2 linked regions of the Schizosaccharomyces pombe genome follow. Changing the gene in region 1 together with any one later gene gives a genetic interaction. Each region holds a gene or a part of one and is shown on either strand. Other genes may lie near its edges.

The links. Genes that interact genetically often act in the same process or in processes that back each other up.
Region 2: of sir2 (region 1) and dpb4, changing one enhances a phenotype caused by changing the other (phenotypic enhancement), as found in Schizosaccharomyces pombe (one study listed by BioGRID).

What each region holds. Positions count from the first base shown.
Region 1 is NC_003423.3:3,607,314-3,615,616, forward strand, and holds sir2 (histone deacetylase, Sirtuin family, NAD-dependent Sir2), read right to left. Parts: upstream 4,374-8,303; 5' UTR 4,244-4,373; coding exon 4,060-4,243; exon of another isoform or gene 3,897-4,059; coding exon 3,834-3,896; exon of another isoform or gene 3,797-3,833; intron 3,793-3,796; coding exon 3,710-3,792; intron 3,580-3,709; coding exon 3,548-3,579; exon of another isoform or gene 3,463-3,547; coding exon 3,026-3,462; exon of another isoform or gene 2,962-3,025; coding exon 2,333-2,961; 3' UTR 1,904-2,332; downstream 1-1,903. Other genes in the region: plasma membrane ZIP zinc transmembrane transporter Zrt1, read left to right, coding at 577-1,803; heat shock protein Hsp104, read right to left, coding at 5,046-7,763. UniProt on the Schizosaccharomyces pombe protein: Involved in silencing within the mating-type region, at the telomeres, and according to PubMed:12867036 also within centromeric DNA regions.
Region 2 is NC_003423.3:1,284,235-1,289,390, reverse strand, and holds dpb4 (DNA polymerase epsilon subunit Dpb4), read right to left. Parts: upstream 3,446-5,156; 5' UTR 3,249-3,445; coding exon 3,076-3,248; exon of another isoform or gene 2,944-3,075; coding exon 2,825-2,943; intron 2,787-2,824; coding exon 2,446-2,786; 3' UTR 2,270-2,445; downstream 1-2,269. Other genes in the region: SUMO-targeted ubiquitin-protein ligase E3 Slx8, read left to right, coding at 1-240; AP-endonuclease Apn2, read right to left, coding at 377-1,155, 1,193-1,985; mRNA-decapping complex subunit Lsm1, read left to right, coding at 4,307-4,370, 4,419-4,487, 4,536-4,651, 4,729-4,902; pig-A family phosphatidylinositol N-acetylglucosaminyltransferase subunit Gpi3, read right to left, coding at 5,066-5,156.

The DNA of each region.
Region 1 (8,303 bases):
TTGATTGATTTCGTTATCAAGTGAGATTGCTGATCACTCCTGCTTCAACTCTTACGTTGCTAATACTAAGTGAATACAATCAGCCAAAAAACCAAAAGGACGATCGCTTTTTTTTTTTGGTTGTAGATCTTATCACTCATTTTTTGTATTGGTTTTGTTTTTTTAAACCACTTTGGATTCCTAAGGTATTTTGCTATTGTTTTGTGGTAGAAAATATCGATTATTTGGAGATCTTTCTTTGCAACTTCAACCTATTCCCTTTTTGTCTTCCTCCTGTGCGCCTATCGCGTATTTTGCTTTTCCCTTAATTATTGTTCGTTCAATCAACTCCCCGCTTTCTCATTTGTTATTTTTTTTTTTAATTTTTTTTGGTTTTGGATTTCAGGTTTCGTTTGGTATTTCCTCGTTGCTTAATTAAACTATTATCCTCTCAGTTTATTGCTCCCTTTAACTCGTTCTGCTCAGCTCGGAGGTTGTTAAAAAATTTCTATTCCATTTTCACTCTCTTTAACGTTTTTCGTTGAAAACAAACTTTGCCCTGTTGAGTTATATCTTGTATCTTTCTCGTACATTAAAATGTCTTTAAACAATTTATCTAACTCATATAATCAATATCTTGCTCAAGAATCTCACCAAATATTGAGACATCTTTTTCTTAATAAGCAATATAGTCCATTGGTAAAAAGAGACGATGATAGCTCTGCTACTGTGACTTGTGGAGGTGATGCCAATGAATTCAACGAATATGGTCATCTGGGATATCGTATTGGTGCCATCTTTGTTATCTTGGCTACTTCATTAATTGGCATGAACTTACCTTTGGTCCTTTCTAAAATCACCAAAAACAGACCCAACGTTTATATTGAATATCTCTATCTATTCGCTCGTTATTTTGGTTCTGGTGTTATTTTGGCTACTGCTTTTATTCACTTGTTAGCCCCTGCTTGTAACAAGCTTTACGATCCTTGTCTTGACGACCTTTTCGGAGGTTACGATTGGGCTCCAGGTATTTGTCTTATTTCTTGTTGGTTTATTCTCTTGTTGGAGGTCCTTTTGAATCGCTATGTGGAATGGCGGTTCGGTATGGAAATCGGCGATCATCATGGTCCAACTCTTGGTGCCAAACAACACAGTCATAGTCACGAAGACGGTGCTCACGGTGTTCATGAACATCCAGTTTATGATATTGAAGAATGTGCCGATGGTGTTGAGCATGAATGTGTAAAGGATGACTTGGAAGAAGTAAAACTAGAACCTTATACGAATACTGATAGTACCGATTTGACTACTAAAGAAGAAGCTCGTAGTTTCTTACTAAAGCAACAACTTACTGCCTTTATAATTCTTGAATCTAGTATCATTTTGCATAGTGTTATTATCGGTCTTACAACTGCCGTCTCAGGTGAAGAATTTAAAACTTTATTTCCCGTCATTATTTTCCATCAGGCCTTTGAAGGTTGTGGTTTAGGTTCTCGTTTGGCGGGAATGGCCTGGGGCCCAAAAACTGCATGGGTACCTTGGGTGTTGGGCGTTATCTATTCGTTGGTTACGCCTATTGGTATGGCAGCTGGTTTAGGTGTTCGTGAGCATTGGGATCCTCTTGCTCATGGGTCTTATGCTGCCCAAGGTGTTTTGGATGCTATCTCATCTGGAATTTTGGTTTATGCTGGTTTAGTGGAATTACTTGCACACGATTTCTTATTTAGTCCTGAAAGAGAACGTAACTGGTATAAGCTTATTTACCTTTTGGCATGCTCGATGGCTGGTACTGGAGTTATGGCTTTGTTAGGTAAATGGGCTTGATTTGGTGGCTTTTTCGATGATCCGTGCATTTTATATTCTTCATTAAATCTGTTTTCTTCTTTTGAGTTTGAGTGTCAATATCGTTGACCAATTTCTAATTGTCCGTTTTCAGTTGTTTCTCTTTAGTATCGTACAATTAGATGCTTCATTGGTTGTATTGATATGTACCAATCAATCTTTCAATTTTAAATAATAATTGTGTCATTTTCACTGATTTACTATGCTTAAAAAAGTAGCTAATTTTGCATAGCCTATGAATGTAATTTGCTTCAATGTTCATTTACTAATTACACAGTCCTTGGTATTGTAAAATGTATTATAACTTGTTTTAATGTGTTTTCACCCAGTTTAGCAGATTTAAACATTAGGTGCGAAGAGAAAAAACAGTTTTTAACAATGGCACTTACAAAACTAAGAAGTCTCAAACGGATAATAAGTTAATGTCCAATAATCTGGCTCTCATACTCGATATATGTATATAATATATTTGCTTCTACATTCAACTTCGATAGATCGATCAGTCCTAAAATTAACAACTACCGTTTGTTGTGCTCGTGATATGATAGGTGCTGGGCTCCTCAAATTTTATATCCAAATCCGTTTCGAAAGCTCGCGTTTTGGAACCACTATGACACTCAGGTAAATCGCAAAGCGCTTGTAATTCATTCAGCCATCCAGCACGTTTACAAATCTCCACAATAACCCAATCACAATAAGGACTTAGAAAATTTACATCGAATTGGGTATGACGAACAGGAGTCCTCGAAATGTAAATCTGAGGAGTAGTAGGAGGAATAACACTGATGAGTTCTGAAACAGGAGCCACTTTTAAAGAAGTTCCAATACAAATTAATAAATCAGTCTCTTCAAGCTCACCACTCCCGACTTTGTTAAAGAAAGAATCCGGTAAGGCTTCCCCAAAAAATGTGATATCAGGTTTCATAATCCCAGGTTGAGCTAGATCATCTTCAGAAGATTCACTATCACCATCTGAAAAATAATGTTTCTCTTTTTTATTTTGACCGACTCTTCTTAATTTTAAGGGTGGTTTTCCGCATTCATTGCAGTAAGAAACTCTTTGATTTCTTATGTCTTCATATAACTCCGATCCATCCACCTTGTGCTTGCATTTGATACAAGTTGCGGTAGCAAAAGACCCTATATAATCAAATTAGACAAAATCACCAGTGCTCGAGATGCAAATCGGAAAATAAATACTTACCATGACATTGAATAATTTTGTTATCGGAGAGTCCAGTCTTTTTTTCCAAATTGTCTATATTTTGGGTAAACAATGTTGATAATTTATTCTTCTTTTCAAGCAATCTAATGAAGGCATGCGAGGGGGAATAATGATTCGTCTCCGGCAAAAGATCTCTAGCAAAAGTATAAAAAATTTCTGGATTTTCTCTAAACGTATGGATATCAAACATTTCAGAAGGTTCCGATAATCCATGGCGTGCCAAACGGGCATAAAAACCATTGTCTGAACGGAAATCTAAAATTCCCAAACTTGTACTTATGCCTGCCCCAACAAGGACGACAACATTTTTAGCTTTTTTCAATAAATTAACAACATCTTCAAAGGTATTAAAATGTGGAAGTTTGATTCTCCTAGCAACCTCACGTTTTAAAACTTCCTTCAGCAAAGGAAGTAAACTAATTAGCACGTTAGTATATCGATAGCAGATATTTTAAAAAATAAAAGATAAAAAGATAAGAAGGAAGTTAAAGAAAAGCATACTCTATGTCTTCAAACTCTTCAAGTGCACTAGGCTATTTACGTTAATAAATCTAGGTAAAGTCATAAGAAAACAAAACATGCAGTAGACCAAATTATTATTGCAATTTAACAAAAATAATCTGCTAATTTAATGTAATGCAAGTTATAAATCAGTAAGCATACCAAATTGATTCCAAGTTTTTTTAAAATCGATCGTACAGGCAACTCTTCTTCTATTAAATATTTCTCCAAGAATTTCGCATAGCCTACAAATACTAGTTAAAATGTAAATTAAGTAACTCCTTACCTGAAGCCCTTAAATATCTGACCATTTCGGATCGTTCATCCAAATCACTTATGTTTTCTGTTTCTAAGGAATCGTTAACTTTTTAAATAATTAAAATAAACTAAAGTATATGAAAAGCACATAGCTAACCTGAACTCAAAATCGTTGATCAATTGTAAATTTTGTAAATTCAAATAGACTTGCGCGTACCCTTGAAGGTATTGGAGTTAATAGTTGATATTCATACCTGGTTTATCCCATTCATCAGAATCAACCTCTTCATCCTCAGTTTCTTTACTGCCGCACATAATATCTACTAGTAAACTAGCACCGGAACTACTACCAGAAGAGCTAGGAGAATAACTAGCGACTGGAATTTTTTCCTCAACGGGAGTCGTCGGCATATTATTATCTAGCGGATTGGAAGCCATGACAGAGTTTGTATAACATGAAAATATGACTAATCAATTATTTTTAAGGAAGTATAAATTAAAGCTTCGTTTGAGAAAGGCAATGATCTACTGAACTGAAGATCTCTGGTTCAACTTTTCGATAAGTCTTATTACAATTACGAAAAGCTAGTCTCTTGTTTAGTGCAGTAAAGTTTCGTTAGCTTAATGGTATGCGGGCAACTGTGATCTCGTTATTTCCTGGTAATAATGGCTATTAGAAGCAAAGCACTGTATAAGTTTAACTATACAACTTGTTAATTTAAACGTTGCTTTGAACCATGAGAACTGGAATGCGTATTAGTATGCAATGCGCAAGTGTAGAAAGTAATGAAATGATATGATAGTGATTTACCAAATGTTAAAGTTAATCATGTAAATTCAATTTAAAATCTACTAAAAGTATGAGAGCTAATTCTGCTTTGATTTTATAAGGAATTACGAGCACTTTCTTACAAGCTCGACTTTCTTGAATGGACTGCATTAATTAATACCTACTAAAATAAATGGAGGTTTTTCGTAAATAACAATGGATTATTTGATAAATTTAAGATTCAATGTTTCATCATACTTGAATTGCTAATAACTAAAAACGATGTACTTAGCTTTTGTTAAATTGATTCTATCTATTCGATAAAGTTCATTGAACATTTTAATGAGAAAACAGTACTTCCTAAAAAGTTTATATACTATATTTTTATAAATAAATAAAATATATTAAGATTAAGCATATCATTAAACTATATCATAAAGTATCGTTAGAACTTTCTCATTTGAAATACATTTATTCCAATTCTTCATCATTAACATCGTCGTCAATACCATCCATGTCAATATCAGCAGAGCCGTTTGCATTAGCTTCATGATTTGGTTTGACAAATATCTTGCCATTTTGGACTACGACATGAGCAGTCTCCTTATCGCGAAGCTGGCCATTCAAAATTAAGACAGCCATGGGATTCAAAACTTGATTTTGAATGACACGGTTCAAAGGTCTTGCACCATAAGCAGGGGAATAACCAGCGCTTCCAAGAAGGTCTTTAGCTTCGTCGCTAACCTCGATTTTAATTGAGCGATGATTGGATTGAAGCCGTTTCTGAACCTCTAATATACGATTTTCGACAATATTGCGGATATCCACACGACGCAGACGATTAAAGATAACGATTGAAGAGATACGATTCAAAAATTCGGGACGGAAGAAGCCACGAATCGAGTTCATAACCATTTCCCGAGTGGTACTATCTATCTTTCCATCATCAGACTCATTGTCTGTTGTCAAGTATTCAGCGCCCAAGTTAGAAGTCATAATGATAACAGCATTCTTGGCATCAACAACCTGGCCTTGGCCACTAGTGATACGTCCATCATCTAGTACCTGCAAAAGTACAGTCAATACTTCTGGAGCAGCCTTTTCAATCTCGTCAAACAAGATGACGGAGTAAGGTCGTCGACGAAGTTGTTCAGTAAGCTGTCCACCAGCTTCATGTCCAACATAACCGGGTGGTGCTCCAATGAGACGTGAAACAGAGTGTTTTTCCATGTATTCAGACATGTCAATACGAATCATTGCATTTTCATCATCAAACATAAATGATGCCAATGCCTTTGTCAATAAAGTCTTACCAGTACCGGAAGGACCGCAAAACAAGAAAGATGCGATTGGTTGATTAGGATCAGAAAGACCAGCACGAGATAAGCGAATGGCGTTTGCAACTGCAGTAACTGCTTCATTTTGACCAATTACTTGTTTACTGAGAACCTTCTCCATGTTAAGGAGTCGTTCCTTTTCAGTTGTCTTCAAACGAGTAACCGGAATACCAGTCCACCTTGCAACGATTTCGTTGATTTGATCGGGCCCAACTACGTCAATAAGTAAAGGTTCTGAGCCTGGTTGAGCGTTTGCAATCGCTTCTGCATCAGCCTTTCTTTTTTGTTGCTCTAAATATTCAATACGTTTTTGCAAATCAGGAATACCATAGTATTTCAAATCAGCAGCAAGAGTGAAATCATTACGACGCTCGGCATCCTCAGCCTTAGCCTTCAACTCATCAAGACGACGCTTAGCATCTTGAAGTTCACTTCCACGAGACTTTTCTAATTCATACTTCTCACGAATAGGTCTTGTTTCTTCTTCCACTTGTTCAGCCTCTTTACGAGCAGCCTTGAGACGTTCTTTGGAAGCTTCGTCCTTCTCACGCTCTAAAGCACGAATTTCAACGCGGAGTTGTCGAAGCTTTCTCTCAAGGTTATCAAGAACTTCGGGCTGAGATTCACGAGTAACACGAACTGCAGCCGCAGCTTCATCGACCAAGTCGATGGCAGAATCTGGAAGACGACGAGAAGTTAGGTACCGGGAAGCGAGATGGGCAGCAGTAACCAAGGCACGGTCAGAGATAGTAACACCATGATGAACCTCATACTTTTCTTTAAGACCACGAAGGATAGAAATCGTATCTTCAATAGAAGGCTCTTTTACCAAGATGATTTGGAATCTACGTTCGAAAGCAGCATCTTTTTCGATGTATTTCTTGTATTCAGCCAAAGTAGTAGCACCAATACAGTGAAGCTTACCACGTGCAAGCATTGGCTTCAGCAAATTGGCAGCGTCCATGCCACCTTCACCACCGGAACCTGCGCCCATTAAAAGATGCATTTCATCTACGAATAAAATAATGGGAGTTTCACTTTCTTCAACTTCTTTTAAAACAGATTTGATACGCTCTTCAAATTCACCACGAAATTTGGAGCCGGCAACTAAGCTTCCGACGTCCAGGCTGAGAAGCTTACAATTCGAAAGATTAGCGGGGACATCATCGTCAATTATACGACGAGCAAGTCCTTCAGCAATGGAGGTCTTACCTACACCAGGCTCACCAATAAGAACTGGATTATTTTTCGTTCTTCTAGAAAGTACGCGAATTGTACGACGAATTTCATCTTCACGTCCGATAACTGGATCCAGTTGACCATTTCTAGCGAGCTCTGTAAGATCAACAGTAAATTTATTTAGTGCATCAAATCCTTCCTCGGCATTCTTTGAATCGATTCTTTTATTACCACGGACGTTATTTACAGCAAATTCAAACGCTTTCGGGGTGACACCGGCTTCTGCCAATAAACTCTTTAGCGTGTCGTCTTTAGTGAACACAGCGATAAAATGATCTTGAGCAATGTAAGAATCTTTTTGTGTTTTTTGAAGTTCATGAGCATTTCGCAGCAGTTTCGCACTTTCAGGTGACAGAGTCACTTGTTCTGGAGGTGGATCCTGAGCAGGCAAGCGAACTAACCGACTAGTAACACTTCGCTCAAACTTTTGACCATCACCACCAGCTTTGTCGACGATGGTGCGCAGTAAGGTAGTACCGTTACTGTCACTGTCGGACAAAAGAGCAGCAGCAATGTGAATAGGGGTTAATTGTGAATGACCATAAGATTGTGCAATTGAGTACGCATCAGACAATGTCTTTGCGGCTTTGTCAGTAAAAGGATAATCAGCCATATCGAGTTATATTATTATAGGAATTTTTATAATTTATAGATAAATCCAAAAAAAAGGAATTGTATATTTGTCGCTCGTTATAAAACAAAAAAGAGAGAGTCGTTGAACGGTAAATATATACGGTTTTCAGTTCGATTTAATAAGAACTTAATATCGTTATTATAATAAATTCTTCGGTTATAGATTGATGGTTGAGGATGCCGCAGGTAGAGAAGCTGTGCATATATATACACGATGATGTTACTATGGGAAGGAAAGGAACATACCAGAAGATGCCAGTTACATTGTTACTCGAACCTACTCCTACACTCTAGAAAAAGAAAGGGATAAAGTAGGGTAAATCCCAAAGACATGACTAGAAGATTTAAAAAAATAAGAGAAAAATAGCTTAAAAAAAAACCGGTGTAAATTAAAAATGCAGTTACCTTAAAAGTCTTTGAATTGTCTTTAAACATGGAATACTCGAAACCCGGAAATGATCTGCGTATTACGTAGTGTATGGAACAACGTAAAGACGGATACTAACCTCAACTTATTCTC
Region 2 (5,156 bases), 2.3 Mb from region 1:
AAAAAACAGGTTGTTCCATCTTCACAACGACTAGCTGATTATAAGTGTGTAATTTGTCTGGATAGTCCGGAAAACCTATCTTGTACTCCCTGTGGGCATATATTTTGCAATTTTTGTATACTAAGTGCTTTAGGTACAACGGCTGCCACACAAAAATGTCCGGTGTGCAGAAGAAAAGTACATCCAAACAAAGTTATATGTTTGGAAATGATGCTCGGATCTCAAAAAAAGAAATCTTAACCGTACAAAATTCCGTATATACATATTAAGAATGTTAATGAAAGATGTGTGATGCACTGCTCAATGCTTTTTGCGGTTTATACACATCAAAATTGAGAATTGATTAAGAGCAAGTTATGCTAGTCATTACAAATTTTCAGTCCTTTGAATTTGCTCTCCAATCTGAGTCCCAGATAAAGAACCTGCATTGGAACGGTTGAGTATCTTCCTCAGAAACTGCATTTGAGTTTTTAATCAGTTCACCAACCGGTCTGGCACAAATCCAAAACTTCCGCCCGTAATTGATTCCCGGCTTCCTCACTGTCAAATACTTGCAAGGTTCCTTGTGACCCTCACAAAGTGGAGGAGCTCGTTCACTGAATATTTGCTTCCAGGCGTTCCCGTTTTCTACTTTTTTTTTTACTGTCAACCCTATGTCAGATTCATTATTGTTATCAAGGACCTCAATCGAAACGTCTTCTGTTTTATTGGTTTCTTCTTTCTCTTCCTTTTGCTTCGCAAAAAATGAAAGAAGCTTCGATTGTTCTTTTCGTCTTCTCTTTTCCGGTGGGTAGGCATCGACGTCTATGACAGAGTTTGCACGAGAAACAGTTGGTGAGGAGCCGCTGGACGCAGAAGCAGATACGTTTTCGCTCTGAGTGGGTGAGTTGTTTTTATTCTTTTTCATCGAATTGAAATGTTGGAACATTGAATGAATATTTTTTGATGGCCGATAGGCTGAATGATGCGCCGTTGATAGTAAAGGTGGTTCTTTTGAGTGACTTAGAAAGTTGGACAACTTTTTTCCTTCATATTCTTCTTTTAAATCTAAATATACGGGGCAATGATCTGAACCCATGACCTCAGCCATAATATCTGCATCTTGAACCCAAGGTAATAAATCGGGTGTTGCCAAAGTGTAATCAATTCTCGTACCTATCCATTGTAAAAAAAATAACAATTCAGAACTTACCATAATTTGTGGGCCTTGTATTAAGTCTTGTATTCCAACATGTAAACATTCCTTTCCGAGTAGGATGTTGAATACGGCCAATGTCCAACAGTAGTCCCAACCTGCTTGGTAGTAATAAATCACGTATCCATTGTCTTGATTCCATGATGCTTGGAATAAGACTCTCTCGAATAATGTCTTTTTGATCAGCAGTGTCAATAGGATTACACAAAATATTCACATCCCCAACGAGAATGATTTTTCGATTTCCTTCCTTTATCAATCTTTCAATTCTTTCTCGTAAGGCTTTATAAAAGGCCCGTCGATATTCTAGTCTATTTTCTCCAGAGTTTACTGGACAGTAAACACCGATTAGGATGAACATCTGAAAATCTAATAATATACACCTTCCTTCACTATCAATCCAATTAGCAGTTTTTCTGTCAATGTCTTTTGGGAAAAATCCTATCTTTTCATGCTCCGGTGCTTCTGAATATGAATATTTTTGTCCTCGTACTGGCAGGATGCCAGTAATTCCCTCTTCTGCTTTCACTGGAATAGCAACATCTTTTTTTACATAAAATCCAACCCCACTATAGCCTTTTCTGATCTTAGGAAATGTAAAATAACTGTCGAATCCCTCAACAACTGCATATTGTTGAGGAAAGCTGTCTTTCTGCATTTTCAATTCTTGAACACATATTACATCAGCCTGTAACTCTTGAAATATCTCTTTGTAGGAATTTTTTTTATTCCATGGAAAATAATTGAATGGATTCTGTATACCGTTCACATTCCAACTTAGAATTCGCATTCTTATAATTTTTACGTAGAGAAAGTGTGCGAAGGTAAAGGCGACAGACTTTTGAATTTACAATTGTTGACATAAGTTAATCTGATGGAAAATAAAATGCATTTGTTTAATTCGAGAATGAACTTTTTCTTTTCTTTTCGACCTTCTCCCTATTGAATGTTGATTTTCAAAAAAATTCTAGATTGACTAATATTGAGTTACAACTGTAAACAATCTAATGATTCTTTCTAAATATATGTCATTAAACGAGTATACATGTTGTGCTAGAAAGACATTATCTCAAACTGCTGTTTAAAAAAGCTATGTTTGGATACAAGGATGTAAATTGGGGTATTAACAGGTATCCAAAAAATCCATTAAAAAATAAAGAAGGTTTAGTTTTTCGTGTAAAAAAATATGATTAGCTCTCCATGTAAGTTAGGACTATTGACAATCTTCATATACATTTAACCAACAGTAATTACGAAGAATCATTAAGTTGAAGAGATTCTTCTGAGTCGGATTCAGAGCTATCTTCAATTGGGTTTCCCGTAGCATCTGTAAGATGAATGGTTTCTATTTGAGGAGATTCTGCGTTTGCGTCTAATGTATCATTCACTTCTTCGAGGTCCTCCACATCATCAATATTTTGCTCAACTTCATTTTGTGCTATATCCTCCGCAATTCGTTCTTCTTCTAATTCGTCTTTTTCTTCATCTAGAGGAGTAGTGTCATGCGCGTCTATTTTGGCTTTCTTTCTGTTATCAACATCTGATACGTTAGGGAGTTTCAATCGTTTTTCTTTCAAGGCAAGCTCATATGCTTTAATAGTTAGAAGAAGTACAGAGTAAGAAACATACCTTCGAGATGTTTTTTTAACGTTTTAGAGAATTCTGGATACTCAATTTCATCGAGCGCATTCAAAACGTCTTGAGGCATAAGAATTTTTCTGTTATTATTCGTAGCAATTTCCCCAGAACTAAGTAACGTTAGTCTTTATTCATTCATATACAAAGTGTTTCCAGAAGAAAATAAAATTGGCAATTATATAATAAATTCTTTCATCATACAAGCCCTTCAATATGGTTATATAGTTATATAGATTACATACGCGGATGTTAGAAAACTAACAAAAAGAGTTGCTGAATTGATCATAGCCTTGAGAGCTTCTTTTTGTACAAGACTCTTTTCAGGTAAGACACCTTTGACTAATCGCATAATGATCGATCGAGGAAGCGCCAGATCATCCAATTCGGAAGTTTCTTTCGATTTATCTTGATTCATATTGATTTTCCAGCCGCTAGATCTTTTACAAACGCTGTATACAAGTCTTTTATAAATCCAATCCAAATATCATCCTATGGTCACCAAACGATAATCACAGAGAAAGGCGGTTGCTTCTTTTTAGCTAATTAATGTATAATAAATTCACTGAGTCGCCTATTTCTGTCAATTTTCACTAAACACTATCTGTGCGTTATGAGCAGAATCCGAGAGAGCCTTAGAGTTGAAACATTTGTAGAAATGCTATCAAATTTCTTAAAACTAAATAGTTGTACTGTTTTGTTTATATTAAATGAGTAAAAAAAAAAGTTTTTTAGCGTTGTTAGAAATAAATAAAGCTTTTTGATAACCATACAATACATTATTAAAGGCTCGATTTTTGATTGTAATTAATAGATAAAAACAACTAAATTTATTATCTTTTTTCAGAACACTCCAAAAACGTTCAATGAACGTTCTAAGAGAATAATAGGCAATCTCTTCTCAGTCGAAATAGCTCAGAATAGGGATATTACAAATGGGATTGGCAACATTTTTACAAGTTCGATTTTGGAATTGATAAAAATCATCAAATTATTTATTTCTGTTCTTCGCAAAATGTTGAGCCTTTCAATGAACTAATCCGCTTATGATGCTGAAAAATTGTTAGGTAGCTTGAGTATAATTAGATTCCCTTTTTACAATCTGTGATCAAAAATATACATGTTTTTGTTCTTTAATTTTTGTGAAGACCGACTTCCCTTTATAACTAGAAAGTCAGATTACAACATTCAATGATGGGCAAGTTTAGAAATGGAAAAACCAAATAATTTAATTTACAATTAGCAAAAAAACATAACAAACGAATAACATTTAAACTTCAGAAGCACTTTTAGGGTTAAACAGGGAGAATTTAGGATTCCAGATTTGACGACCTCAGAGCACTTGCTTCTAACCATCTCCTCGAACTCGTTTTTTAAGGAAAACACTCAAATAAAGTCATCAGGCGTTTATAAAAGAAATAGAAAGTTAAATCTAAATTAAATTATTAGTTTATGCTACATCCAAATAATAGCTGAATGAATCAAGCTACACAGATTATCCCATTCACAACTTCTGGGTCACTTGTTGACTACGTAGACAGTACGGTGTTTTTTCCAATGTTTTCCTTGATCTAACTTTACCTTTTAGGAAAAGTGATTGTTGTTTTACGAGATGGAAAAAAACTGATTGGAATTTTAAGGTCCTTTGATCAATTTGGTATGGTTTGCGTGAATAGGCGCATAAGTGAGTTTACTAACTGTGTAGCAAATTTAATGTTGCAATACACGATTGAGAGGATCTATGTGGATGATATGTACGGGGACATAGACAGAGGTGTGTATATTGTTCGGGGCGAGAACGTCGTGCTTTTAGGTGAATTGGTAAGTTTCGTTTGTAACATAAAATATTCGAGCATCTTTATAAATTTCTTTGAACGTGGGCTAAATATTTCGAAAAGGATTTGGATAAGGAGTATGATGCAGTCAAACAATTGCGACGTATGCCTGCTGAAGAACTGTATCCTTTGGCGAAGCTTCATGAAGAAGAGAAGAAGAAAAATATACGTGAGAAGGGCAAGTACCTTCATTCTGTAGGCTTTAGTGTTGACGGCGGACATGATGATTTGTATTAGACAACGGTTGAACAAATTTATCACAATATTGCTATACCGTTTGTTTACAGTCACGATAGAAAGCTATCTCGACCGCTGTTTATTCCCCTTTTAAATGGATGTAATGTAATTTTTAAGACATGAATCGTCATAATCCCATTACCGTTCGTTCAAAGTTTAGTAATCATTGTGCATCTTTTAAACATGCAGTTTTTATCTTTGTCTTTTTTTTGGGGTCCGTTAATACCAGAGATTCGTCAAAGTTCTGCTTAGAA